Saccharomyces cerevisiae S288C: one gene and its partners. The protein of the gene in region 2 binds, or shares a complex with, the protein of the main gene of each other region. Each region holds a gene or a part of one and is shown on either strand. Other genes may lie near its edges. A codon is read from its position in the direction of its gene.

Region 1 (7,517 bases), on a different chromosome or scaffold from region 2:
CTCTCTGATCGATGACCTGAACGAGCAGAAACTCAAGCAGCAGCTGAATATCGAGAAGACAAAATACTTCCAAGGAAAAAATGGCGGATCGCTGCACTCCAATACAGACTTTCAGGACACATCGCAGAATATCGAAGACAACAATAACGATAACGATAACGATATCGATGAAGATGACGACATGTCATCTTACAACGACAAAGCAGCCTCGGTAGCGCACACCAGAGTCCTCAATTCCTTGCATCTGTCCACCGACAGCAATACCGCCCACGAGACGTCCAATGCAAACGACAACCACAACCCCTTCTACATCCGCGAGGAATAATAGCATATCCGCATACGCACACGCACACGCACACGCGCACGCATCCACATTCACTTTCACTTATAAAATTTCTTCTCTCTAGTTTTATATACGTTGTATTAGAAATATAAAATATGACAATAGTACACTTTGTAGGCTCTCTTTTTTTTTTTTTTTTTTTTTCTTATATATTTTTTTACAATGACCACGGTTTGTACACCTGGGGCTGCAATTTTGCAATGGAGTCGCCTTCGCCTACTTCCTCGCCTTCCTTGCCTACACGTTTCACGCCATGTCCTGTGGCCGTATTGCCGTCTTCGTCATCGCCCTCCTGGTCCTTCTCCACTAGTTGTATGCCCGAGTCTACTTGCTCCGAGATCAGTACCAGTTTCTTCGACACATTCAACTCCTCCAGCGACTTGTTCAGGTCAAGAATCTGTTTACTCAGTGATAATCGGTCGTTCAGCATCTTTTCAGATTCCTTCACATATTTCAGTTTTTCCATCTCCAGTTGCGTTTCTAGATCGCACAGCTTTGTAAACTTGCTCTCTAATTTCTCCATGGTCAGCTTGACTAACTCTTGGATTATCGCTTGGCTTTCTTCAATGTACTTTTCGGAGATCTCTCTCGACTTATCAGAGACCTTACCCAATTTGTCGTCGCCTTGCAGTAGCGTCTGGACAGCATCATTCACGCATTCCATCAACTTCGAACCGGACACACTACCATCGCGGCTGTCGCCACCCTTACCATTCAGCGTTGAACCAACAACTTCTCGGATGTAGTTGTCCTCGATCGGTAAGCTTAGGAATTTTTCAATGCAGTCTTCTACACGCTTGTGCCCACCCACGTGGTCAGCAATCTTCTCCCACTGGTCTTCATACATTTCAATACCCTCCAGCAATAGTAGCATCTCCTGGTCTGACCAGTTTTTTTTAACCGAGTTTCCGTTGTTTTCTAATCTGATGAAATCTGAAGATTGAAAGTTGGCACCGAAATGACCCTCTTGGAAACAACGGGAGCACAGGTTGGTGTCCCGTGCACGCAAATTGTGGTAGCGCACATTGATTGACTCGTTACCGCATGTATGGCAAATGTAAACTTTGTGAATCTGCCTGGAGTTTCTACTTTCGTCTTGTAATGCATTGAAGTCTTGTGCAGAATCGTAAACGTTCTTCTTGATTGTGAGATTAACGGGAAATTCCTTCTTGACTTGTGGTTCCGCTCCATCTCCTCCTTCCACTTCTTGCTTGATCACATTCTCTGGTAAAAATGGCTTTAACCCCTGCGGAGTGTCCAGAACCACTTGGAAGTGGCCCGTAAAACTTGGCCCAATAAGACTGGGCTTGGTCCTGGGGTCAATCTGATAATTGATTAAGCCCCATTTTTCCAAGAACGCGTGAATCTTCACTATCGAGGCAACATCCATGGCAACATTTCTTCTCACAGCGGTAATGGTCAAATATTCGTACGGCGAAAGACGGTACGTGTTGATGATAAAATTTCTTGTGTCCTTATATGCCTTTGGTGTCTTGAACCTTGATGAATCGTTGAAAAAGTCGGGATTGGATCTTTTTTCGATCTCGTGGATCTTCGAAATATCAAACCAAGAGGCAAACGACGGAATAATCACCGGGTGAGTTTGCTTTGCCAGGAACCTAAGGGCCTTCTCCTCCAGTTTCTGTGCTTCTTGCTCGTAATTGATTTTCTTATGAGCTACTTCTGCTCCCAATGTGGCAGATTCCTCCTTCGCCTGTTCCTGTGCTAAGTGAGGGAAAGATGGCGTGTTGGTGCTTGTGGTGGGTGGCTCCTCGGTCGCTTCGTGCGAGTCTACCATAGGGACATCCTTATCCTTTTCAGTGTCGCTCATTATCCTGGCCTTCTATCTACTCTTTGCTTCTCTGCTCTACCCTTCTCTCTATAAACCTCACGAACTAATTCAATGTTGATGAAACTTATTTTTTCCAACTTTTTTACATCAAGCGGGTGACAAAGAGAACGCCGTAATTAAATTATCATAGAAAAGAGTAACGGATTAAGGAAGTATCAAATTTGGCGATGAGATGAGCAGATGCTCAAACGCGGCGCTGATGACTGTTGTTGAGGATGCTGTTGGGGCCAGGGTGGCTGCAAGGACGAGAAACATGAGCAATGGCGTCAATTACCGGGAGAAGGAAGTCAATGACCTAACGGCTGACATTTCAGATTCAGATTCAGATTTGGATTCAGAGGACAATAAACATGGCAAAGGCGACAATGACACTGCCCCCATATGGTTACAAGATGATGTGCATTCAGACGAAGATATTCAGCTGGACTCAGAGGACGATTCCGATACAGAAGCTGTTCAAGCCCAAGTGGTGGATAAATTGGCAAAAGACACGAAATCAGAGCAAAAATCCTTGGATGATGAGCTCTCCGAGATGGATACCAAGACGGTTTCTTTAAAACTTAAGAAACTAAACGAGTTTGTGAGGCAGAGTCAGGTATATTCCAGTATAATCGCCGATACTTTACTACATCGATCTAATGAAGTGGCTAACGCTAATACAAAAGATAACAGCAACTCTGATGATGAAGAACATTCTTCAAAAAAACGTAAAACAAAAAAAAAATCAATAACAGATTTCTTCAAAAAACAGAAAAAGAACGAAGATACAACCACCCAAAACGGCGCACCAGACGATGCAGCAATAAAGCAACCTCGCCTATTGAAAAACTGTATTTTAAAACCTTACCAACTAGAAGGTCTTAACTGGCTGATCACTCTTTATGAAAATGGCCTGAACGGAATTCTTGCCGATGAAATGGGTCTTGGTAAGACTGTTCAAAGTATTGCTCTTTTGGCGTTCATATATGAAATGGACACAAAGGGTCCTTTTCTAGTGACTGCACCATTAAGCACCCTAGATAATTGGATGAACGAATTTGCAAAATTCGCTCCTGATCTACCAGTTCTAAAATATTATGGGACCAATGGTTATAAGGAACGTTCTGCCAAGTTGAAAAATTTCTTTAAACAACACGGCGGCACGGGGATCGTCATCACATCATATGAAATTATTTTAAGAGATACCGACTTAATCATGAGTCAAAATTGGAAATTTTTAATTGTTGATGAAGGCCACCGTCTGAAAAATATAAACTGTAGATTGATTAAAGAGTTAAAAAAAATCAATACTTCCAATAGACTGCTACTAACAGGGACGCCTTTACAAAATAACCTAGCTGAATTATGGTCACTTTTGAATTTCATAATGCCCGATATCTTTGCCGATTTCGAGATATTCAATAAATGGTTTGACTTCGACAGCTTAAATTTAGGCTCCGGTTCCAACTCTGAAGCATTGAATAAGTTAATCAACGATGAACTACAGAAAAATTTGATTTCCAATTTACACACAATTCTGAAACCATTCCTTTTGAGAAGATTGAAAAAAGTTGTTTTGGCTAATATTCTGCCGCCAAAGAGAGAATATATCATAAATTGTCCGATGACGTCTGCACAGGAAAAATTCTATAAGGCTGGATTGAATGGAAAGTTGAAAAAAACCATGTTCAAAGAATTAATCAAGGATTTTTTCACATTGAACGATGAATACATCGGCCACGTTTCTAATCGGTCCATACGAGATTTCATCAATTATAAACTATCTGGTAATGAAACTTCAAATACAGACAATAAAATCAATCCAACCTTGTTGCAAATGGACAAACTATATAAGAAGAACCTGCAAATGGAAATTTCAAATAAGAAATTGCAAAATATGATGATGCAATTGAGACAAATCATTGACTCAACTTTTTTGTTTTATTTCCCATATTTACACCCAGAAGACTTGACTTTGGAAACTCTTTTAAAGACGTCTGGGAAATTACAAATCTTACAAAAATTAATCCCCCCATTAATATCTGAGGGGCACAAAGTGCTTATTTATTCTCAGTTTGTTAACATGCTCGATTTGATCGAAGATTGGTGTGATTTAAATTCGTTCGCGACATTTCGAATTGATGGTTCAGTAAACAATGAAACAAGAAAGGATCAACTCGAGAAGTTTAATAGCTCGAAAGATAAGCATAACATTTTCCTATTGTCCACAAGGGCGGCAGGACTGGGTATTAATCTAGTCGGGGCAGATACAGTTGTCTTGTTTGATAGTGATTGGAATCCACAGGTGGATTTACAAGCCATGGACAGGTGTCACCGTATTGGCCAAGAATCACCGGTTATAGTATATAGGTTGTGTTGTGATAACACCATTGAACATGTTATATTGACCAGAGCGGCCAATAAGCGAAATTTGGAAAGAATGGTTATCCAGATGGGAAAATTCAATAACCTGAAAAAATTGGCGTTAAATGAAGGTTCTTTTTTGAAGGCAAACAAAGCGGGTGTTAATGTCACTAATAAGGACTTAGTCCAGGAGTTATCTATGCTTTTAATGAGCGATGAATCCAATATAGGCTTTGAAAATGGGGGACAGAAAGAAAATAAGGCTACTGAGGGCCAACTGACTGATAAGGAGGTTGAAGAATTGACCAACAGATCTCTTGAAGCGTACAAGGCCAACAGAGTCGTAGATCTGCCGCACGTCAAGCTATTTGAAACAACCTCCGGTCTTTAACTTGGTTATCATACAATATTGTTTTTATTAAATGTTTGTATATATGTACATATACATACCTATATATTGATCAATGTTCTTGCCGTACAAATTCTTCCTCTAGTTGTTCCTTTAGTTCACGGTTTTTGAATAAAGTATCCGCAGTATTCATTCGTTGCAGAAAGGTATCTTGAATATTATTTTTTGTGTTCTGGAAATCAGCTTTTAGTTTAGTAATCCATTCCAGTATCAAAGTCATATCCAGATCATGTTTTACCAGACGGTTCCTCTCAGAAATAACTTTCTTTTTCAATTCCATGAAACGGAGCCAGTTGGAATGATTCTCTTCTATATAGGCAGGATCGTATTGATCTTCCAAATGGAGACCTCTGACGTCCATATATGCCATTCTTTGCGACCATTGACTTATCATTACATCGCCCCACTCTTCGTACACTTCGACGTTTTCAAGACGAATCGATTCTGCCAGTTTAGCCATTTCGGTAAGAAAAGAATCTAATGAATGAAACAGTGATTTTTCAAAGTCTAACAAATGTATTTTATAATTCTTCAGTATCGATGTGATAGATGATTTGGTAATGTAAGCTTCCAGTTCAACTTGACCCGATTCATCAAAATACTTTATTTTATTTTGCACAGGATCGAATTTAGAGGTACAATTAATATCTTTGATTTTTGAATCTAGAAACACTAATTGCTCATTAACGGTAGTGTTAAGGTCATCAAGATTCCTAGTGATTTCTATAGATTTATTTTGCACCTCGGCCTCGAACACAGACTGTATCTCTGAATCCAAAAGTGCCATCGCACTGTGTATTTTCGAATCTATAGCCTTAATCCATGCTTCATATTCCATTTTTAATGATTCTGCCTCGTAAGTTTCCAATTCTGCATGGCTATTGGAACCAATGATAATCTTTGACAAATCCTGCAAAATAGCAGCAGTGACGAGTTGTGAGTTCCCGTGGCCATCCTGTACTCCATCGAACTCGTATTCTTTATTTTCATCCTCAATTCCGACATCATCCTCATCCTCATCTTCATCCTCATCCTCATTTTCATTCTCATCATCCTCATAATCCTCTGTTTCCGAGTCTGTCTCAAAAATGGGTTTGGTGAGCGTGCCATCAGCGCTAAAGGAGCCGTATTTCATCCAATCCGTAGAGGAGTTAAATGGATTCTCTAGTACATTCTTCACATTGTCTGTATATGGCTTTAAATAGTACCAGGCAATCCTTAGATGATTTAATAAAGGTCCCAACTTGGAATGTAGCGAACAGCAGAGCTCATTTAGCCTTAGAAAAGAGAAAATATTGTACCAAAAGCGGTAAAAATATCCCATAATTCTCTTCAAGGATGAGTTGGGGTATCTTTCAATCAGTGGTTTTATCGATTGTGAGTACTTTCCAACTAAATAGTCAGAAACCGCTGAACCTTCAACCAATTTAGAATCGAATAGTGAGCCAACTGAAAATTCAGTATGCCGGCAAATGGGCTGTAAATCTGTGGCAAAGCTTCCCAGACCATTTTGCTGACAGACCAGATACCTTGCAATAAACACGCAAGCCAGCAAAGCAGTCGTTACTTTGAAAACGGCCTTCATGATTTTTAGTAAAGAACTAACCACCTTTTTCTTAGTTAAGAAAAGGTCAATCAGTAACAGAAATATGATAGTAGCAACACCCAAAAAAATGCTATCTTCCAATAGTCAAAAAGGAAGCCTCGATGCCATACAAGTCTCTTCTAAAGTACTATTATGTAATTCCTGTTAAATGATACCTGTATTGTGGCTTAAAAGGGCCGAAATGACAACAAAATGAGTAGGGTTAATTTAATTTTTAAAGAGGGCATTTATCTAAAAAATGAAAGACAACTATAGGGCTGGTAATTATAGAATAGGTCTTAGTAGGGTTATCCCTTCCTCTAGAAAAAAAGAAAGAAAAATAATTTTAAGTGGCCAATTAGAACCAAAACCAACAGTATCGTGGTATCATACGCTCCAAAGCAACTAGAAGAAAGGCCTTATTTGACCATTGGATTCAGTATTTTTTCTCCAAGTAGCGGTTAAAAGACTGAGAGACTAAAGCTAGATAGTGGGTTTGAGTGACTATCCCCTTTTTTCCTCCTCTTTTTTTATTATTTTGATTTTATTTCATTTTGATTTTATTTCAACACGATTAAGACACAAGCGTTACTTCCCTAGACTATAGTCTCTGCCGTTCCCATTCTATTGATTTTTGGAGCAGCAGTTTTTACAAAAGAAAAGAAAAAAAAGACGAAAACAACAAGCCAGAGTAAAGATGTCGTTTTGGCCATTTGGACAGAATCTTAATCACTCTAATATTAATAAGATCCTAGATGAATATTTTCATGTGCTACACGAACTGGAAAGGATTAACCCAAGCGTTGGTAAAGCCATTCCCGCTATTTTCAACAACGTTCAGGAACGAGGTACAAGTGACTCCCTAGATTCTATTCCGGAGGAGTATAGTCATGGTGATGAAGTGAAAACGGCACGTGGAGATCAGAAGAGTCGATTTGAGAAGGATGATCAGCAAGAACGGTATGAGAAAGAGGAAGAGGAACGG
Region 2 (6,971 bases):
AGGCGGAACGTGTGGCAGGGAAGCAGGAGCAGGAGGAGGAGTACCCTGTGGACGCCCACATGCAAAAGTACCTTTCACACCTGAAGAGCAAGTCTCGGTCGAGGTTCCACCGAAAGGATGCTAGCAAGTATGTGTCGTTTTTTGGGGACGTGAGTTTTGATCCTCGCCCCACGCTCCTGGACAGCGCCATCAACGTGCCCTTCCAGACGACTTTCAAAGGTCCGGTGCTGGAGAAACAGCTCAAAAATTTACAGTTGACAAAGACCAAGACCAAGGCCACGGTGAAGACTACGGTGAAGACTACGGAGAAAACGGACAAGGCAGATGCCCCCCCAGGAGAAAAACTGGAGTCGAACTTTTCAGGGATCTACGTGTTCGCATGGATGTTCTTGGGCTGGATAGCCATCAGGTGCTGCACAGATTACTATGCGTCGTACGGCAGTGCATGGAATAAGCTGGAAATCGTGCAGTACATGACAACGGACTTGTTCACGATCGCAATGTTGGACTTGGCAATGTTCCTGTGCACTTTCTTCGTGGTTTTCGTGCACTGGCTGGTGAAAAAGCGGATCATCAACTGGAAGTGGACTGGGTTCGTTGCAGTGAGCATCTTCGAGTTGGCTTTCATCCCCGTGACGTTCCCCATTTACGTCTACTACTTTGATTTCAACTGGGTCACGAGAATCTTCCTGTTCCTGCACTCCGTGGTGTTTGTTATGAAGAGCCACTCGTTTGCCTTTTACAACGGGTATCTTTGGGACATAAAGCAGGAACTCGAGTACTCTTCCAAACAGTTGCAAAAATACAAGGAATCTTTGTCCCCAGAGACCCGCGAGATTCTGCAAAAAAGTTGCGACTTTTGCCTTTTCGAATTGAACTACCAGACCAAGGATAACGACTTCCCCAACAACATCAGTTGCAGCAATTTCTTCATGTTCTGTTTGTTCCCCGTCCTCGTGTACCAGATCAACTACCCAAGAACGTCGCGCATCAGATGGAGGTATGTGTTGGAGAAGGTGTGCGCCATCATTGGCACCATCTTCCTCATGATGGTCACGGCACAGTTCTTCATGCACCCGGTGGCCATGCGCTGTATCCAGTTCCACAACACGCCCACCTTCGGCGGCTGGATCCCCGCCACGCAAGAGTGGTTCCACCTGCTCTTCGACATGATTCCGGGCTTCACTGTTCTGTACATGCTCACGTTTTACATGATATGGGACGCTTTATTGAATTGCGTGGCGGAGTTGACCAGGTTTGCGGACAGATATTTCTACGGCGACTGGTGGAATTGCGTTTCGTTTGAAGAGTTTAGCAGAATCTGGAACGTCCCCGTTCACAAATTTTTACTAAGACACGTGTACCACAGCTCCATGGGCGCATTGCATTTGAGCAAGAGCCAAGCTACATTATTTACTTTTTTCTTGAGTGCCGTGTTCCACGAAATGGCCATGTTCGCCATTTTCAGAAGGGTTAGAGGATATCTGTTCATGTTCCAACTGTCGCAGTTTGTGTGGACTGCTTTGAGCAACACCAAGTTTCTACGGGCAAGACCGCAGTTGTCCAACGTTGTCTTTTCGTTTGGTGTCTGTTCAGGGCCCAGTATCATTATGACGTTGTACCTGACCTTATGAACTGCCACCATACCACGTGTGTCCCTCGCAAGCCCTTGATAGATATACAATAGGGAATGGGCGTCCGCTCCACCGTGGTCAAAGACAGGGGCAAAGAGCTCCTAGGTCTATATATATATCTATATACATATTTATATATATTATTAGAACTTTACAATATAGTATATACCATTCATTGTTTAAGTTTCGGGTAATACTTTTTTTTTCCTTGTCATAACCCCAAAAATTTTCGATGCCTTTGATATAATTGAGAACAAGAAGAGTTTGCAGGTGACAAAAATCGATGATTATAGGTGTTGTGACGACAAAATGAACGCTAATATATGGGTGGCTGCTTCAGATGGTAATTTGGACCGAGTGGAACATATCCTCCGCGAGAGTAAAGGCGCCATGACCCCGCAATCCAAGGACATTAACGGCTACACTCCAATGCATGCTGCCGCCGCATACGGCCACCTGGATTTGCTGAAGAAAATGTGCAATGAGTACAATGGAGACATTAATGTGTTGGACAACGACGGCGATACCCCGTTGCACCATGTGGAGGATGTGGCCACTGCCAGGTTGATCGTGGAAGAGCTGGGTGGAGACTTCACTATCAGGAATGTGGAGGGCCAAACGCCATACGACTCGTTCGTCGAGAACGGTGAAGATGGTGAGCTAATCGAGTACATGAGGATTAAGTCCGGCGTGGCCGATGTTCACGGAGTGGACGGCGTGCAGGGTGAGGGTGTCATCGACAGCAAATTGCTGGAAGAGTTCAAGGACAACGTGAGATACACCTTGGAAAATGACCCTGAGGAAGGAGCCGATGAGGCCACTCTGCAACGCAGGAGGCAGTTGGAACAGATCATTACGGGAGACAACGCTGAGGAGGAGTTGGAAAGGTACATCCGTGCTATGGTCAGAGAGCAGATGCTGGGCCAGGGCTCCATGGCGGGTTCCGGGGACGAACCAGATTCCAAGAGAAGAAAATAACGACCCAGCACAAAGGCTCTTACAGCTTGCTAAAAGAAATTGAACGCGACGCTACATGAACTACTTCTTTCTCTTACATAGTCTTTTCCCTTATGTATCTTTTCTGTACATTAATAGACGTTCTTACAAGGTAAAATTTCACCGCGTTTTTAAATAGAATGAAAAAAACGTTGTAGAGTGAAAGAAAAGCAACAAATATACAGTTCACAAGGCAGCTTCGTATAGTAATACAGCACGAAAAACAGCTCATAGAAATGGTAACACAGACCAATCCGGTCCCTGTTACATATCCAACGGATGCTTATATCCCCACGTATCTGCCCGATGATAAGGTCTCCAATCTGGCAGATTTGAAAAAATTGATAGAAATGGATTCCAGACTAGATTTGTATCTGACAAGAAGGAGGCTGGATACGTCCATCAATTTACCTACAAACACCAAGACCAAGGACCATCCCCCCAATAAAGAGATGCTGAGGATTTACGTCTACAACACTACGGAAAGCAGCCCTCGCAGCGATTCTGGCACCCCAGCGGACTCAGGCAAGACTACATGGACACTGAGAATAGAAGGTAAGCTTCTGCACGAGTCCGCAAACGGAAAGCACCCATTTAGTGAGTTTTTGGAAGGTGTCGCGGTCGACTTTAAAAGACTGAAACCGCTGGGCATGGGCAAGAAGAGGAAACGCGATTCGTCATTGAGCCTTCCTTTGAATCTGCAACAACCCGAATACAATGATCAAGATAGCACCATGGGCGATAACGACAACGGCGAGGATGAGGACAGTGCAGAGGCAGAATCCAGGGAGGAAATTGTAGACGCACTGGAATGGAACTACGATGAAAACAACGTTGTGGAGTTTGATGGTATCGACATCAAGAGGCAAGGCAAGGATAATTTGCGATGCAGTATAACCATCCAGTTGAGGGGTGTCGACGGTGGAAAAGTACAGTACTCGCCCAACTTAGCTACCTTGATAGGTATGCAAACGGGCTCCGTTAATGACGCGGTTTATTCGATCTACAAGTACATTTTGATCAACAATCTGTTTGTTACGGAACAAACAGAGGCTCAAGATGGTTCCAACGATGCCGAAGACAGCAGTAACGAGAATAACAATAAAAACGGTGCTGGTGACGATGATGGCGTCGAGGGAAGTACTCCAAAGGATAAGCCCGAATTGGGTGAAGTGAAGCTAGATTCACTCTTACAAAAGGTATTGGATACAAACGCCGCGCACCTCCCCTTGATGAATGTTGTGCAAACCGTGAACAAACTGGTATCACCCCTACCGCCCATCATCCTAGATTATACAATTGATCTTTCCAAAGATACCACCTATGGTGCTACCACCTTGGATGTAGATGTGTCGCACATTCTCCACCAGCCTCAACCCCAGCCAAATTTACAAAAAGAGGAAGAAACAGATGCTGAAGACACAGCAAAACTACGTGAAATCACAAAGCTTGCCTTGCAGTTGAACTCTAGTGCTCAAAAATACCAGTTTTTCCACGAACTGTCTTTGCATCCAAGAGAAACGCTGACTCACTACTTATGGTCTTCCAAGCAAAACGAGCTTGTGCTGCAGGGCGACCAATACTTCAATGAAGATGCTGCAAGAACGAGTGACATATACAGTAACAACAACAATGACAGGTCACTAATGGGCAATATCTCACTACTGTACTCCCAAGGAAGACTATAACATCACTGTATGATCTCATTCTTTCTGCAATTATTGCACGCCTCCTCGTGAGTAGTGACCGTGCGAACAAAAGAGTCATTACAACGAGGAAATAGAAGAAAATGAAAAATTTTCGACAAAATGTATAGTCATTTCTATCAATAACGTATACACGTTTTTTTAATACTATCTATATTGTGTATCTTATATTTTTCCATTTGGTAGTATAGCAGCAAATATTTGTTCTTAGACGGCCACCATCCCTCACACCAATGCCTAACGCTTCCCAAGTTTACAGATCTACCAGATCCAGCTCTCCAAAGACAATCTCTTTTGAAGAGGCTATCATTCAAGGTCTGGCCACTGACGGTGGTCTTTTCATTCCACCAACTATTCCACAAGTGGACCAAGCCACTCTTTTCAATGATTGGTCAAAGCTCTCCTTCCAAGACTTAGCCTTTGCTATCATGAGACTATACATTGCCCAAGAAGAGATTCCAGATGCTGATCTAAAGGACTTGATCAAGAGATCTTATTCTACTTTCCGTTCTGATGAAGTCACCCCCTTGGTGCAAAACGTCACTGGTGACAAGGAGAATTTGCACATTTTAGAATTATTCCACGGTCCTACCTACGCTTTCAAAGACGTTGCTTTACAATTTGTCGGTAATCTTTTTGAATACTTCTTACAAAGAACCAACGCCAATTTACCTGAAGGCGAGAAAAAGCAAATCACTGTGGTCGGTGCTACTTCCGGTGACACTGGTTCTGCAGCCATCTACGGTTTAAGAGGCAAAAAGGACGTTTCCGTTTTCATCTTATATCCAACCGGTAGAATTTCCCCAATTCAAGAAGAACAAATGACCACCGTTCCAGATGAAAACGTCCAGACTTTGTCTGTTACCGGTACTTTCGACAACTGTCAAGATATCGTCAAAGCTATTTTCGGTGACAAAGAATTCAACTCTAAACACAACGTCGGTGCTGTTAACTCCATCAACTGGGCAAGAATCTTGGCCCAAATGACCTATTACTTTTATTCATTCTTCCAAGCCACCAACGGTAAGGACTCCAAGAAGGTCAAGTTCGTTGTGCCAAGTGGGAACTTCGGTGATATATTGGCCGGTTATTTTGCCAAGAAAATGGGTTTGCCTATTGAAAAACTGGCCATCGCTACCAATGAAAACGACATTTTGGACAGATTTTTGAAATCTGGTCTATACGAAAGATCAGACAAGGTTGCTGCTACTTTATCCCCAGCAATGGATATCTTAATCTCTTCTAACTTTGAAAGACTACTATGGTACCTAGCTCGTGAATACCTAGCTAATGGTGATGATTTGAAAGCCGGTGAAATCGTCAACAATTGGTTCCAGGAATTGAAGACCAACGGTAAGTTCCAAGTTGACAAATCCATCATTGAAGGCGCATCAAAGGACTTTACATCAGAAAGAGTTTCCAATGAAGAAACATCTGAAACAATCAAGAAGATCTACGAATCATCTGTAAATCCAAAACATTACATCTTAGATCCTCACACAGCTGTCGGTGTTTGCGCCACAGAAAGATTGATTGCAAAAGATAATGACAAGTCCATCCAATACATTTCTCTATCTACCGCTCACCCAGCTAAATTTGCCGATGCTGTAAACAATGCATTGTCTGGATTTTCCAATTATTCATTTGAAAAGGATGTTTTGCCTGAGGAATTGAAGAAACTATCCACATTAAAGAAGAAATTAAAATTCATCGAAAGAGCTGACGTTGAATTGGTCAAAAACGCTATTGAAGAAGAACTTGCTAAAATGAAATTATAAGATCTTCCTTTTTAATGAATATATTTTATCTTATATAACATATAGAATTCTATAATTAATAGAGAGTATGAAGTACGATTATCCTTAATGTTAATCAAAGTGAATCATGATTGCGAGAGTAAGGAACCATAAAATTAATCTTCATCTATGCTAATAATCTCAGAATTCTCGTTCCCAGGGTCTTCTTCTTTAGATACTAATCTAACTTTCCCGCCCTTTTCAACTGATATTTCAAACCCAGCTTTGCTCAATGCATCGTCTTGAACAACGTCTTGAGCTTCCATTTTTTTGACATATTCCTGATTCTTGGCATTATTCTTTAACAAAAACTTCAAGCAAACAATAGATCTTTCCTTGATAAACGGATCATTATCATCGATGACACAATTGGAAAGAATTAATGCAAGACCACCTAATTCTCTTATTTGATCTTGGATTTCAGGATGTGCATACACTAACGATGCCAATATTTCGATTATTACTAATTTACAATGGGGAAAATTATCAGCCCTAATAAAGGATTCGTTGGTATTAACACGGTTGAAAATTAATAACCGGTCCTCGATTTTGTTACCTTCATGATCTGTGATTTTAATTTCATTCACCGTATCACCGTTTCCTTTCAAAAAATTAATCCTCAACAAATTCTTTTGGAAAGTATCCAAGAGAGATACCAATATTTTCACAGAGTCATACGAAATTAAGAATTTTCTAACATGATTGAATTTGCACAAGTCAGAAATTATGTCCAGGCAAGAAAGTAAAGTGGAGTGTAATTGGATGGCAACTGAAGGAGCATAATCGTTACAACTTTTATTGAAAAAGGCAGGAATATCCTTGCATGCAAGACGTTGCAG
Region 3 (4,640 bases), on a different chromosome or scaffold from region 2:
TGAGAATCTTGGAAGTCGTCCTTTTTGTCAGCAAACCAACCCTTTATGTCATCCAAAGACCAGTTACTGTTGTCAAAGTATTTTTGGTAGTCTTTTGGCAGGATCTTGAGTTTTTCGTTTCTGGATTTTTTGACTAATTCTCTCAATTGATGTTCAGTAGACAGCATTGAGTACTTAATACCACGAGCATCTAAAAACATTTTCAATTTGTCCTTTGGCCAAGAGTCTAGGCCAACCAAAAAAGTATCATTGATCACATTGTCAGTCTTACCTCTGAACTTGGAGTACAAATTTGTGAGGAAATTTTTAGAAGAGTCCCAAACGGAACCAACGTATTCTGGGGTCTTGGTCAAAAATGGAGAAGACTCTCTTTTCATATAGTCCAGGTACCAGTAGATATCATCTTTCAAATTGGCAGAATTTTCTTTGGCCATTCTAACCAAATAGTCGTGTTTCTTGGCCATGTTCTTGTCAATATTGACCTTGTGGCTCTCCAACCAATTGGTTAACTGATCACTAGACCACTTGTCAAATACAGTGTCTTTTATTTGTCCCGATGTGTCTAATATTTGTTGGTGAGCCAAATCCAAGCTTTCTAGCAAACCCAGACGCTGCTGTTCTGCCTTTTCTGAAGTTCGGTAGATGTTTTCCTTGACTTTCTGAACTAGCTCGTCCTTGCTTTGAACTGCCTTGTCGTAGTCGATACCATTGTCATTCAACCAGTTTTGCAAATCTTTGGTTGACCAGCTATCAAAGTAAGAGCTAGAAGGATAGTATCCCGACGACTTCAAAGATTTGGAAATCTTGTTGAAGTTCTCCTTAGCAGTCTTCACCAGCGAGTCCTTGGAAGCCTTAGCGTCGTCAACATCCACGCCGTTTTTCTTCAAGAAGTTACGTAGACTGTCTGTGGACCAGGTGTCAAAGAGCCAGTCAGAAACTGGGTGATCCGAAGAACCAGTATAACCAAACCATCCGGGGTTACTGTTGCTCACGCTACTGCTGTCACTAGACCACACCTGCCACCATGGTTTGGGCTGCGCGTGTTTGTCCCATACCTGCGATGCCTCCGTTTTCAAGTCCTCAATGGAGTCTGTAGCGTACTTTTCCAAGCTCTTCTTATTATCACGTAAATAATCGGCCAGGTCTTCCTGCGTCCACTTGTCGAACACTGAATCTGAATTGGCCAACACTAAGCCAATAAGCACAAATGATGCGGAAACCGCATTAACCAACTTGAATTGCTTCATCTTCTTCTCTTAATTAACAGTTCTTTTGTAGTTGTCTCCTCTTCTATTGCAGATCCTCTTCTAAACTCCGGTAATCTAATCATGCTAGGAATACGACTCCATGAGTGGCTTTAAATACCCTGTCGATCCCCTTTCACCGCCTCCTTGTTTCCTCCCTCTCCCTTATTTTCCTTCAGTTCCAAAGATCCCTTATTCTTCCCCTCTAAGGTGAGGCCGGCGTAATGCTGTTGCTTACCGACGTAATGGTGGAAAAGGTGAAAAAAGTGAAAATAGTGATATTCTTAGAGAAAAACGAAAACAACAAGTCGTGTCAAGAGGTAGTGTTTTGGGAAAGACGTCATAGAGAAAGGCAGAAAGCTTGTAAAGAAGTGGAAATAAAGATTGAAGATGAACTCGTTAGCTTCAAACACACCGCTAAATGGTACTCCAGTAAGCGAGGCACCCGCCACAAGCTCCGAGCCTGTGAACATGTTCGAGACAATGGTGGCTAACCCTATTAAAGTGTCTCGATTACAGTCTAATGGAGTTCTGACGGGACCTGCAGCCAATACTAAGTCCATCCACTATTCGCTGGCCAATTTTAATGTGTTCCAGTCGCTACCCAAGGAAACGGCCAGAGGTGTAGACGATTTGACGAGGATGGAGATGGCGTTACTGAGTGGGATACCGGAGGAGATTAAGTGGTCTTTAAAAAAATATCTTACGTATAGTAACAAGGCGCCATATATGATCAGCTTACGGACATTGCCGGACCTGTTGCCACTTTTCAAGACTTTCATATTGCCTTTGGAGCGCATCGTGGAAGGTCTTAACAAATCGTCTATATGTGATTCAAAGGCGATGGATTCTCTACAAATGGGTCTAAATGCCTTGCTGATCCTAAGGAATCTGGCTCAAGATACTGATTCGGTGCAGATACTAGTCAAGGATCGAGAAATCAAATCTTTCATTCTTTTCATTTTGAAGAAGTTTCAGTGCGTCGCTACAGGCGATAACAAGTGGCAATTGTACGAAGGAAATGCAACTTTTTTTAACGAGTTGACCCATTATACTCTGGACTTGATGGAGGCCATTTCGTCCTATATTGCTCCTGCAATGAAGGATGATCATTATTTCCAAACGCTGGTGTCCATCTTGAACTACACTAAGGACAGATACATGGTTATTTCTATATTGAGGTCTCTTTCAAGATTACTGGTTAGGTCCAAAGCTAACGAGGAAAGTGCAGCGGACAATTTGGACCATAAGACTCTTTCGTTGATCGTTTCCTTTTTACTGTTAGAATGCGATAGTGAGCTGATTATTGCTTCGTTGGATTTCCTCTATCAATACATTTTGCCCGGTTCTCAAAGAATCACTGAGTTATTCAAGAGTAAGGAGTGCTCTTTGATACTGGAAGCCACGCTGCCTAATTTATTATCATATAATATCGCCACACCAGATTACCATCTTTTGCAAAAGCACAAAATTAGGTTGATTAAAAGGTTGAAGCCTCCCGCTCCAAAGGAGCCTCCCAATTTATCTGAGGATCTGTTTCAACAACTTTTCAAACTTAACGAGCCCTTGAGGTCAACCGCTTGGTTGAGATGTTGCTTTGAGCCTGTACAAGAAGCAGAATTTACACAAATATCGCTTTGGAGATCCTACGAATCCAAATTTGGTCAGCCTGTTCGCGAATCCGGACGCAAATTGTTACCTGCCGTGGAATTCATCAAGAATGTCTCGAATGCTTTCAATAACGCCGCTGCTATCGTAATCACTGACCCGGTAACCGGCAAGAAAAGGTTTGTTATCAAGGGCATTCAACCAAGATTTAAAGCTTTGGGTATTGCAGACGGGGAAAGAGAATCCCAGGTACCCATTTCGGCACTAAAATCCAAATTTTTGAATGACTCTAAGGAAATTACACCTGCAAGACAAAACAGCATACCAGAGGTCAAATTCCCTCAAGAACTCTCAGATGTTTCTAAAGTGGCCTGTACGTTTTTGTGCCTTTTATCCAACGACACGGATGATGGTGCTGGTTCCGCATTTTGTCAACGCATCAGGCCACTGGTTCTACATAAATTGGCTGATATTCCACCTTTAACATTAGCATTGTCTGAATACATGGAAAACACGTCGGGGTTATGAATGAGAAAAAAAATCGGTTGGGCTTAACTTTAAAGAAAAAAGTTGAGATTAGATTTATTGTGTTATAAATATAGATATACAATTCTTTATAAAAAAAATATATATATATATCATTGTTATTAAATAAAGAGTTTTCCTAGTATATAGATTAAAAAACTACTCTATTAAATGAGAGCTAAAAAAAGCAGGCTGCCAAAAAAATAAAGCATTTATGAAGGGGGTTCAGCAAGATGCAATCGATGGGGGAAGATTATTTTTTAACATCGTAAGATCTTCTAAATTTGTCATCGATGTTGGTCAAGTAGTAAACACCACTTTGCAAATGCTCAATGGAACCTTGAGGTTTGAAGTTCTTCTTCAAATGGGCATTTTCTCTCAATTCGATGGCAGCTTCGTAATCCTTTGGAGTTTCGGTGATTCTCTTGGCTAATTTGTTAGTAATATCTAATTCCTTGATAATATGTTGGACGTCACCAACAATTTTGCAAGAATATAGAGATGCAGCTAAACCGGAACCGTAAGAAAATAAACCAACACGCTTGCCTTGTAAGTCGTCAGATCCAACATAGTTTAATAGAGATGCAAAGGCGGCATAAACAGATGCGGTGTACATGTTACCTGTGTTTGTTGGAACAATCAAAGATTGGGCAACTCTCTCTTTGTGGAATGGCTTAGCAACATTAACAAAAGTTTTTTCAATGTTCTTATCGGTTAAAGATTCGTCATAATCGCGAGTAGCTAATTCGGCGTCAACTTCTGGGAACAATTGAGGATTGGCTCTGAAATCGTTATATAGTAATCTACCGTATGATTTTGTGACCAATTTACAGGTTGGAACATGGAAAACGTTGTAGTCGAAATATTTCAAAACGTTCAAAGCATCCGAACCAGCGGGATCGCTAACCAACCCTTTAGAAATAGCCTTCTTGGAATAACTCTTGTAAACTTGATCAAGAGCCTTGACGTAACAAGTTAATGAAAAATGACCATCGACGTAAGGATATTCGCTGGTGAAATCTGGCTTGTAAAAATCGTAGGCGTGTTCCATGTAAGAAGCTCTTACAGAGTCAAATACAATTGGAGCATCAGGACCGATCCACATAGCAACAGTACCGGCACCACCGGTTGGTCTTGCGGCACCCTTATCGTAGATGGCAATATCACCGCAAACTACAATGGCGTCTCTACCATCCCATGCGTTAGATTCAATCCAGTTCAAAGAGTTGAACAACGCGTTGGTACCACCGTAACAGGCATTAA
Region 4 (7,115 bases), on a different chromosome or scaffold from region 2:
ATCGGAGGCACGTAACCGGGGAGAAGGCCTCCTGGGTGAAGTTGATAATCTTAACGAGCAGAATGTCCGAGAAAACCTGACTAGTGAACATGAAAAGAGTCCTGAAGGAGATTCCAAAAGGTATGGCCTGTTCTCCTTTGAAGAGACCCCCCCTATACAAGTGTTGGAGCAGGGCAATATCAATTCTGAGCTTTCTTCATTTAAAAACACTTCTTTGGCGGAAAACAAACGCTCTTCTGACAGCTTCGTTTCGTTAAAACCGGGTGAAGATGAACATAGCCCTTTAGAGATTAGTACGTGTGGTAATTTGACTGAAAGAGAGGATTTGCAATCTGGCGAAGAACGGTTTGACTCAGCAGCCCAAAATATAAAGGTAGCTTCGATGAAGGAAAAAAAAAAAATCTTCAAAGGGAACAAAACAGATTAATCACTGAGATTATACGCCTCGAAAACATACTAAATAAGCATAGGAAGGCTGAAGCTAAGAATAATATTAACAAACTTGAAAAGAAGTTGAGTGAAACAGATGGTTTTACATCTGTAAACACATCAGTTCCAGTAACTCCTATTATGCCGGTCTTAAATACGAGAACTTCTTATCCCAATATCGACTTTCATGGTACTAAGGTTTCTGATGTTCTAGATGCCTTTGAATTTGAAAAGCATGATGATCCCTTAAGGGATAAATGGAACACTTTACAGTTTTTGGAAAAGAGCTTTGAATCTAAATTTGAATCTGCATCAGAGTTAATCCAAGGAGGCGAGCTAGCTGCTATTAAAGAAAGAAATTTTCAATTAGCCAAACTAAATAATCTTTGCTTTCGGGTACGAGAGTCCATCAAAAGAAGACAAGACCTGGAGAAAAAGTTAAGAACTTTATCGCAGGACACTGACAACGAATTGCTTTTTCTGATGTTGGAAAATGAGAGAAGAAAGAAAAGTTCAGTGATAATAGAGTTTCTTTCTGAGATAATCAGAGAGAAATCCAAAAGATTAACTGCAGAAGAGCAAGGCTTTGTAAATCAAAATGAAGTAAAACCCCTCATTCTGGACCTTTCTGCACGGATAAATAGATTGAATTCTATTCTAGAAACAAAAAATACTTGTATTAGAAGATTAAGTAATCAATAAGTAGTTAAATTTTCATAAATTATTACTTTCTTACATGTTAGTTGGCGCGTCGTCTGGCTGAAAATTTTACGCGTCATAAACCCTTAACTTTTCCACACATTATTCCTTACTGCTAAGCGCATTGCTCACTTGAAAGTAAATTATCTACAAAGTTACATTATCAAAAGGCCTTAGAAACACACCTAAAGTCTTACAGTATCACAATATGAGTCATATTGAACAGGAAGAAAGGAAGAGGTTTTTTAACGATGACCTTGACACTTCAGAAACATCGTTAAACTTCAAATCTGAGAATAAAGAGTCGTTTTTATTTGCAAATAGTCATAATGATGATGATGATGATGTTGTTGTATCAGTGAGTGATACAACAGAAGGAGAGGGAGACCGATCTATTGTGCCAGTCAGGCGAGAAATAGAAGAAGAAGGCCAGAATCAGTTTATTACAGAGCTTTTAAGGATTATTCCAGAAATGCCAAAGGATCTTGTGATGGAACTTAATGAAAAATTCGGCAGTCAGGAGGAAGGGCTCTCTTTAGCATTATCACATTACTTTGATCACAATAGCGGGACGTCTATCAGCAAAATACCGTCTTCCCCGAATCAACTAAATACACTCTCAGATACCTCAAATTCAACCTTGTCCCCATCTTCATTCCATCCTAAAAGAAGAAGAATATACGGGTTCAGAAACCAAACACGATTAGAAGATAAAGTTACTTGGAAAAGATTTATAGGTGCTTTGCAAGTCACTGGTATGGCTACCAGACCCACCGTCAGGCCCTTGAAGTACGGCTCTCAGATGAAGCTAAAGAGATCAAGTGAAGAGATTTCTGCTACTAAAGTATATGACTCACGTGGTAGAAAGAAAGCGTCCATGGCTAGTTTGGTAAGAATTTTTGATATCCAATATGATAGAGAAATTGGCAGAGTTTCGGAAGACATTGCTCAAATACTATACCCTCTTTTAAGTTCACACGAAATAAGTTTTGAAGTTACATTGATTTTTTGTGATAATAAACGGTTGAGTATAGGTGATAGCTTTATTCTACAATTGGATTGCTTTTTAACATCTCTCATTTTTGAGGAACGTAATGATGGAGAATCCTTGATGAAAAGAAGACGTACAGAGGGAGGAAATAAAAGAGAGAAAGACAATGGAAATTTTGGAAGAACATTGACTGAAACTGATGAAGAGCTAGAAAGCCGCTCGAAAAGACTGGCTCTACTAAAGTTATTTGATAAATTGAGGCTAAAGCCTATTTTGGACGAGCAGAAGGCATTAGAAAAGCATAAAATAGAGCTTAATAGTGACCCCGAAATCATTGATTTAGATAACGACGAGATTTGCTCTAATCAAGTGACTGAAGTCCATAACAATCTCCGAGATACTCAGCACGAAGAAGAAACAATGAACTTGAATCAATTGAAAACATTTTATAAGGCCGCACAATCATCAGAATCTTTAAAAAGTTTGCCTGAAACAGAACCTTCTCGCGATGTCTTCAAGCTAGAACTAAGAAATTATCAAAAGCAAGGTCTTACTTGGATGCTAAGGAGGGAGCAAGAGTTTGCCAAAGCAGCCTCTGATGGTGAGGCTTCAGAAACGGGTGCTAATATGATAAACCCATTATGGAAGCAGTTCAAATGGCCAAATGATATGTCGTGGGCAGCTCAAAATTTGCAGCAGGACCATGTAAACGTTGAAGATGGCATATTCTTTTATGCGAACTTACATTCTGGTGAATTTTCGCTAGCAAAACCTATATTAAAAACTATGATAAAGGGTGGCATATTATCAGATGAAATGGGGTTGGGTAAAACAGTGGCAGCGTATTCTTTAGTTTTATCTTGTCCTCACGATAGTGATGTTGTTGACAAGAAACTGTTTGATATTGAGAACACAGCAGTCTCAGATAATCTTCCAAGCACTTGGCAAGATAATAAGAAACCATATGCTTCAAAAACAACGCTAATCGTGGTCCCAATGTCTTTGTTAACGCAGTGGAGTAACGAGTTTACAAAAGCTAATAATTCCCCCGATATGTATCATGAGGTGTATTATGGTGGGAATGTTTCCAGTTTGAAAACCCTATTAACCAAGACAAAAACCCCTCCAACTGTAGTCCTTACTACATATGGTATTGTTCAAAATGAATGGACTAAACATTCCAAGGGAAGGATGACAGATGAGGACGTCAATATATCTTCAGGCTTATTTTCTGTCAATTTTTATCGCATAATAATCGACGAGGGTCATAACATTAGAAACAGAACGACAGTTACATCTAAAGCAGTCATGGCTTTACAAGGCAAATGTAAATGGGTTTTAACAGGAACACCAATTATTAACAGGCTTGACGATTTATACAGTCTGGTTAAGTTTTTAGAGTTAGATCCCTGGCGGCAAATTAATTACTGGAAGACCTTTGTATCAACGCCTTTTGAGAGTAAAAATTACAAACAAGCATTTGATGTGGTGAATGCAATTCTGGAACCCGTATTGTTAAGAAGGACAAAACAAATGAAAGATAAAGATGGTAAGCCATTAGTAGAGTTGCCACCAAAGGAGGTCGTTATTAAAAGACTTCCCTTCAGTAAATCTCAAGATCTTCTATACAAGTTTCTGTTGGATAAGGCTGAAGTTTCTGTTAAATCGGGTATTGCACGCGGTGATTTATTGAAAAAGTACTCCACTATCCTTGTCCATATTTTAAGATTGAGGCAAGTCTGTTGCCATCCCGGTCTTATTGGGAGTCAAGATGAGAACGATGAGGATTTATCTAAAAATAATAAATTGGTTACGGAACAAACGGTGGAGCTTGACTCTTTAATGCGTGTTGTTTCCGAGAGATTCGATAACTCATTTTCTAAGGAGGAATTAGATGCAATGATACAAAGATTAAAAGTTAAATATCCAGACAATAAATCGTTTCAGTCCTTAGAGTGCTCCATCTGCACAACGGAACCTATGGATTTGGACAAGGCTTTATTTACAGAATGCGGCCACAGTTTTTGTGAGAAATGTTTATTTGAATATATTGAGTTTCAGAACAGTAAGAATTTGGGTTTAAAGTGCCCCAATTGCCGTAACCAAATAGACGCTTGTCGGTTGTTGGCATTGGTACAAACGAATAGCAACTCGAAAAATTTGGAATTCAAACCATATTCACCAGCCTCCAAATCAAGCAAAATCACTGCTTTATTGAAGGAGCTTCAATTGCTACAGGATAGTTCGGCAGGCGAACAAGTTGTCATTTTTTCCCAATTTTCTACATACTTGGATATCCTGGAGAAAGAGCTAACTCATACTTTCTCAAAAGATGTTGCAAAAATTTATAAATTCGATGGACGTCTCTCATTAAAAGAAAGAACTAGTGTATTAGCAGATTTTGCCGTTAAAGACTATAGCAGGCAAAAAATCCTATTACTCTCGCTGAAGGCTGGTGGCGTGGGTTTGAATCTAACGTGTGCTTCCCACGCTTATATGATGGACCCATGGTGGTCGCCCAGTATGGAAGATCAGGCAATCGATAGACTGCATAGAATTGGCCAGACAAACAGCGTCAAAGTTATGAGATTTATCATACAAGATAGCATAGAAGAAAAAATGCTACGCATTCAAGAAAAGAAGAGAACCATCGGTGAGGCCATGGACACAGACGAAGACGAGAGAAGAAAAAGGAGAATTGAAGAAATCCAGATGCTGTTTGAATAGTCATACCACATACTCATATATAAAGACTTTATTTATTATTATTTTCAACCCGAAAGAACTAATTATTCTTCAGCTACTTCATGCAACTTCTATTATCTTCCTTTTCCGTTACCCGTATTTTTAAGTTGCAATTATTAAAAAAACAATTAAGAAAATAAAACAGCGCCATAAGGCATGGACGATAGAAATACGAAGACGAAGAAAATCATCATCAGTCGGGATCAAATAAGAGATAATTTTGAAAATCGAAAGTTTTCATTATGACAGAAAGTGTAGGTGGAAATAAACTAGTAGATTTTTTGGTAAATGTTCAATCCATTTTGAATGCTGCCTCTGTGAAATGTCATGTAGTAGATGAAAGTTTTCCAGCCAAGTTCTTTGAGAAAAATCCGGATAAGATATATGAATCATATTGTAAATTCATTAAAAATAGAAGTAACTCTGAAGGTTTGATACGTAATGAAGATAAATTAGTTTTGACAACTATCAATAAGAGGTTTGAAAATGGAGAGTACGAACCCATACAAGGTGGGTTTTATAAGCTGTATCACGACATTAAGCTGGTTTGTACAATCCTCATTCACTTTTATCCTCAGGGTACAAGAAACTACCAATTAGTCGACAAGTTCTACAAATTTTCTTCAGAGCTTTTATTACGAGAATGTTGTAGGATAGGAATTGCTCTAACGCAAACTAATAATATTAAATCAAGAAGTGGTAAGTTGTTGAGCGGAAACGAGATGGATGAATACGACGATGACGATGCAACAGAACTAGACAAAATAATCTCTTATGATTTTATTAAGATTTCTATGAATTACACAGTGCCGATTTCTCAAACATATCAGATAAGAACGAAGGATATGGACCTTTTTTCTTCGATAATTTCTAAATCTAATCTTGACAAAAGACCTCATGAACTTCCTAATACAAACTTCAAAATAAACAACGTCTTACCTCAAACTGATATAGAAAACGAAGCTCCAAGATTAGGATTTGTAGGCGCTAATACTAGTAATATTCCGGACCCTACGTTACCACCAACTGAAATGATGACTAGATTTTTGCATCCAAATTGGTATGCTTTACCTACAACCGTCTGGCTAAAATATGGTAATTATAATTCTTGGGCACCTTCCTTTAATGAAAACGGCACCGTTGTGGATTCGACAACAAGGGGTCTTATTTGGCTTGAAAGAATTGGTTATATGGACTTGTATGAAAAAAATGAAAAGAAAGTAAAACAAGAAGAATTACTGAACACGAATGAAGAAGGCATAAACAGGAAGCAGAACGATGAAAACAACAAAAATGTTGACGGCAAAAGCAATGGCGTTCAGGACGATGGTGGTGATAATGATAATGATGCGACTATCGCTTCTGCAAATTCAGAGAGTACTGAGAATAAGGAACAATTCATAATCAAGCTTCAAAACTTATATAATTGGACACCATCTAATTACATTGGAGATGACGAAATTGAGAACTTTCGAAATGGCACACCAGATAAGTTGGTTTCAGACTCTCTCTTAAAACTTAAAAGACTTAGAAAGGAGAGGATTTTAAATAAAGTTTTGAAGCCTACTACGGAGGAACGAGAATTATACTTCAAAGTGAAAAGAATACTAAAGGAGGTTATCTTAGCAAAGAAGGTTTCCAAGGTTCCTATAAACAATGTAAGGGCCTTTCCAGTATTACAAACAAACTATAATGGTAGCATACCTGTGGTAAGGGCGCAACCAGGTCGTAAACGGAAACACAAGAAATAAATAGTGTCAGCGGTAGTGGAATCAAAGATAAATAATGAATTATCTTTGTTTTAGTTTCATGAAAGCTCATCAAGTCTTTTTTGACTAATGTATGTTTATATTTTGATATTAGATAAAGTATGCATTTGTTCTGAAGGCTATGCATACGTAAGTATATACTTGGGTTGTATTATGCAGAATAAAGAAATGAGAGAAAACAAGAATCGAGAGAAAACGACACACTTGACAATAAATAGGTTCCATTAAAAATGGATGTCGGCACCTAAGAGATAGGAAATCACCAAATAGCAATTCAAGCTCCCGATTAAAGCCCATACGAAAACAGAGGTATAGGTCAACAAACGACTGTTAGTAAAATCAACTATTTTACTGTGCTTGGAGTTCAATGGAGTGGTTTCATCAGCAATGGCGTTAACATCGGCAGGTGCTCTTACCACACCATTTTCGTCATGAACAACCATCAACTTTCTATTTGCGGTAAAATAAATTAAAGGAGCGGA

The links.
Region 1: the proteins of RSC6 (region 2) and RSC8 are in contact, whole or in part, in a cryo-EM structure (PDB 6K15), measured with the Saccharomyces cerevisiae proteins. Residues at the interface, in NP_009981.1 of Saccharomyces cerevisiae: Leu22 (codon at 2,930), Lys26 (codon at 2,942), Val27 (codon at 2,945), Asn29 (codon at 2,951), Leu30 (codon at 2,954), Leu33 (codon at 2,963), Leu36 (codon at 2,972), Met39 (codon at 2,981), Asp40 (codon at 2,984), Leu43 (codon at 2,993), Asp44 (codon at 2,996), Tyr46 (codon at 3,002), Leu47 (codon at 3,005), Arg50 (codon at 3,014), Arg51 (codon at 3,017), Glu394 (codon at 4,046), Asp395 (codon at 4,049), Lys398 (codon at 4,058), Glu401 (codon at 4,067), Ile402 (codon at 4,070), Leu405 (codon at 4,079), Gln408 (codon at 4,088), Leu409 (codon at 4,091), Ser412 (codon at 4,100), Lys415 (codon at 4,109), Tyr416 (codon at 4,112), Phe419 (codon at 4,121), His420 (codon at 4,124), Leu422 (codon at 4,130), Ser423 (codon at 4,133); in NP_116695.3 of Saccharomyces cerevisiae: Pro176 (codon at 1,649), Ser177 (codon at 1,646), Leu178 (codon at 1,643), Gly180 (codon at 1,637), Pro181 (codon at 1,634), Ser182 (codon at 1,631), Phe183 (codon at 1,628), Gln239 (codon at 1,460), Trp334 (codon at 1,175), Glu335 (codon at 1,172), Val347 (codon at 1,136), Glu348 (codon at 1,133), Ile351 (codon at 1,124), Glu352 (codon at 1,121), Leu355 (codon at 1,112), Ser356 (codon at 1,109), Pro358 (codon at 1,103), Glu360 (codon at 1,097), Asp361 (codon at 1,094), Arg365 (codon at 1,082), Met390 (codon at 1,007), Asn394 (codon at 995), Val397 (codon at 986), Gln398 (codon at 983), Leu401 (codon at 974), Leu407 (codon at 956), Val410 (codon at 947), Ser411 (codon at 944), Ser414 (codon at 935), Arg415 (codon at 932).
Region 3: the proteins of RSC6 (region 2) and RSC9 are in contact, whole or in part, in a cryo-EM structure (PDB 6V8O), measured with the Saccharomyces cerevisiae proteins. Residues at the interface, in NP_009981.1 of Saccharomyces cerevisiae: Gln4 (codon at 2,876), Thr5 (codon at 2,879), Asn6 (codon at 2,882), Pro7 (codon at 2,885), Asp15 (codon at 2,909), Ala16 (codon at 2,912), Tyr17 (codon at 2,915), Thr20 (codon at 2,924), Tyr21 (codon at 2,927), Asp24 (codon at 2,936), Leu45 (codon at 2,999), Thr48 (codon at 3,008), Arg49 (codon at 3,011), Leu52 (codon at 3,020), Asp53 (codon at 3,023), Thr54 (codon at 3,026), Ser55 (codon at 3,029), Ile56 (codon at 3,032), Asn57 (codon at 3,035), Leu58 (codon at 3,038), Thr221 (codon at 3,527), Gln223 (codon at 3,533), Val227 (codon at 3,545), Asp228 (codon at 3,548), Gly229 (codon at 3,551), Gly230 (codon at 3,554), Val232 (codon at 3,560), Val249 (codon at 3,611), Asn250 (codon at 3,614), Val253 (codon at 3,623); in NP_013579.1 of Saccharomyces cerevisiae: Lys143 (codon at 2,061), Ser144 (codon at 2,064), Ile146 (codon at 2,070), Cys147 (codon at 2,073), Asp148 (codon at 2,076), Ser149 (codon at 2,079), Met152 (codon at 2,088), Gly201 (codon at 2,235), Asn203 (codon at 2,241), Gln206 (codon at 2,250), Leu207 (codon at 2,253), Tyr208 (codon at 2,256), Glu209 (codon at 2,259), Tyr252 (codon at 2,388), Thr253 (codon at 2,391), Lys254 (codon at 2,394), Asp255 (codon at 2,397), Arg256 (codon at 2,400), Ser294 (codon at 2,514), Leu297 (codon at 2,523), Glu299 (codon at 2,529), Cys300 (codon at 2,532), Asp301 (codon at 2,535), Ser302 (codon at 2,538), Glu331 (codon at 2,625), Leu334 (codon at 2,634), Ile335 (codon at 2,637), Ala338 (codon at 2,646), Thr339 (codon at 2,649), Asn342 (codon at 2,658).
Region 4: the proteins of RSC6 (region 2) and RSC58 are in contact, whole or in part, in a cryo-EM structure (PDB 6V8O), measured with the Saccharomyces cerevisiae proteins. Residues at the interface, in NP_009981.1 of Saccharomyces cerevisiae: Pro7 (codon at 2,885), Val8 (codon at 2,888), Pro9 (codon at 2,891), Val10 (codon at 2,894), Thr11 (codon at 2,897), Tyr12 (codon at 2,900), Pro13 (codon at 2,903), Thr14 (codon at 2,906), Asp15 (codon at 2,909), Ala16 (codon at 2,912), Tyr17 (codon at 2,915), Asp40 (codon at 2,984), Ser41 (codon at 2,987), Asp44 (codon at 2,996), Leu45 (codon at 2,999), Leu47 (codon at 3,005), Thr48 (codon at 3,008), Arg51 (codon at 3,017), Asp392 (codon at 4,040), Asp395 (codon at 4,049), Thr396 (codon at 4,052), Leu399 (codon at 4,061), Arg400 (codon at 4,064), Lys404 (codon at 4,076), Leu407 (codon at 4,085), Gln408 (codon at 4,088), Asn410 (codon at 4,094), Ser411 (codon at 4,097), Gln414 (codon at 4,106), Val443 (codon at 4,193); in NP_013133.1 of Saccharomyces cerevisiae: Thr262 (codon at 5,890), Glu263 (codon at 5,893), Met264 (codon at 5,896), Met265 (codon at 5,899), Thr266 (codon at 5,902), Phe268 (codon at 5,908), His270 (codon at 5,914), Asn272 (codon at 5,920), Trp273 (codon at 5,923), Val280 (codon at 5,944), Trp281 (codon at 5,947), Leu282 (codon at 5,950), Lys283 (codon at 5,953), Tyr284 (codon at 5,956), Asn286 (codon at 5,962), Tyr287 (codon at 5,965), Asn288 (codon at 5,968), Ser289 (codon at 5,971), Trp290 (codon at 5,974), Ser293 (codon at 5,983), Phe294 (codon at 5,986), Glu296 (codon at 5,992), Ser303 (codon at 6,013), Thr304 (codon at 6,016), Gly307 (codon at 6,025), Leu308 (codon at 6,028), Trp310 (codon at 6,034), Leu311 (codon at 6,037), Glu312 (codon at 6,040), Gly315 (codon at 6,049).

The regions. Positions count from the first base shown.
Region 1 is NC_001138.5:227,013-234,529, forward strand, and holds RSC8 (Rsc8p), read right to left. Parts: upstream 2,175-7,517; coding exon 501-2,174; downstream 1-500. Other genes in the region: anaphase promoting complex subunit CDC26, read left to right, coding at 1-325; IRC5 (putative ATPase), read left to right, coding at 2,368-4,929; OSW7 (Osw7p), read right to left, coding at 5,000-6,532; SAP155 (Sap155p), read left to right, coding at 7,230-7,517.
Region 2 is NC_001135.5:212,128-219,098, forward strand, and holds RSC6 (Rsc6p), read left to right. Parts: upstream 1-2,866; coding exon 2,867-4,318; downstream 4,319-6,971. Other genes in the region: ARE1 (sterol acyltransferase), read left to right, coding at 1-1,634; YCR050C (uncharacterized protein), read right to left, coding at 1,337-1,645; YCR051W (uncharacterized protein), read left to right, coding at 1,944-2,612; threonine synthase THR4, read left to right, coding at 4,570-6,114; CTR86 (Ctr86p), read right to left, coding at 6,249-6,971. UniProt on the Saccharomyces cerevisiae protein: Component of the chromatin structure-remodeling complex (RSC), which is involved in transcription regulation and nucleosome positioning. RSC is responsible for the transfer of a histone octamer from a nucleosome core particle to naked DNA.
Region 3 is NC_001145.3:15,430-20,069, forward strand, and holds RSC9 (Rsc9p), read left to right. Parts: upstream 1-1,634; coding exon 1,635-3,380; downstream 3,381-4,640. Other genes in the region: double-strand break repair enhancer MSC1, read right to left, coding at 1-1,247; ERG13 (hydroxymethylglutaryl-CoA synthase), read right to left, coding at 3,631-4,640.
Region 4 is NC_001144.5:203,655-210,769, forward strand, and holds RSC58 (Rsc58p), read left to right. Parts: upstream 1-5,106; coding exon 5,107-6,615; downstream 6,616-7,115. Other genes in the region: YLR030W (uncharacterized protein), read left to right, coding at 1-427; YLR031W (uncharacterized protein), read left to right, coding at 571-1,131; DNA helicase RAD5, read left to right, coding at 1,337-4,846; putative divalent metal ion transporter SMF3, read right to left, coding at 6,858-7,115. UniProt on the Saccharomyces cerevisiae protein: Component of the chromatin structure-remodeling complex (RSC), which is involved in transcription regulation and nucleosome positioning. RSC is responsible for the transfer of a histone octamer from a nucleosome core particle to naked DNA.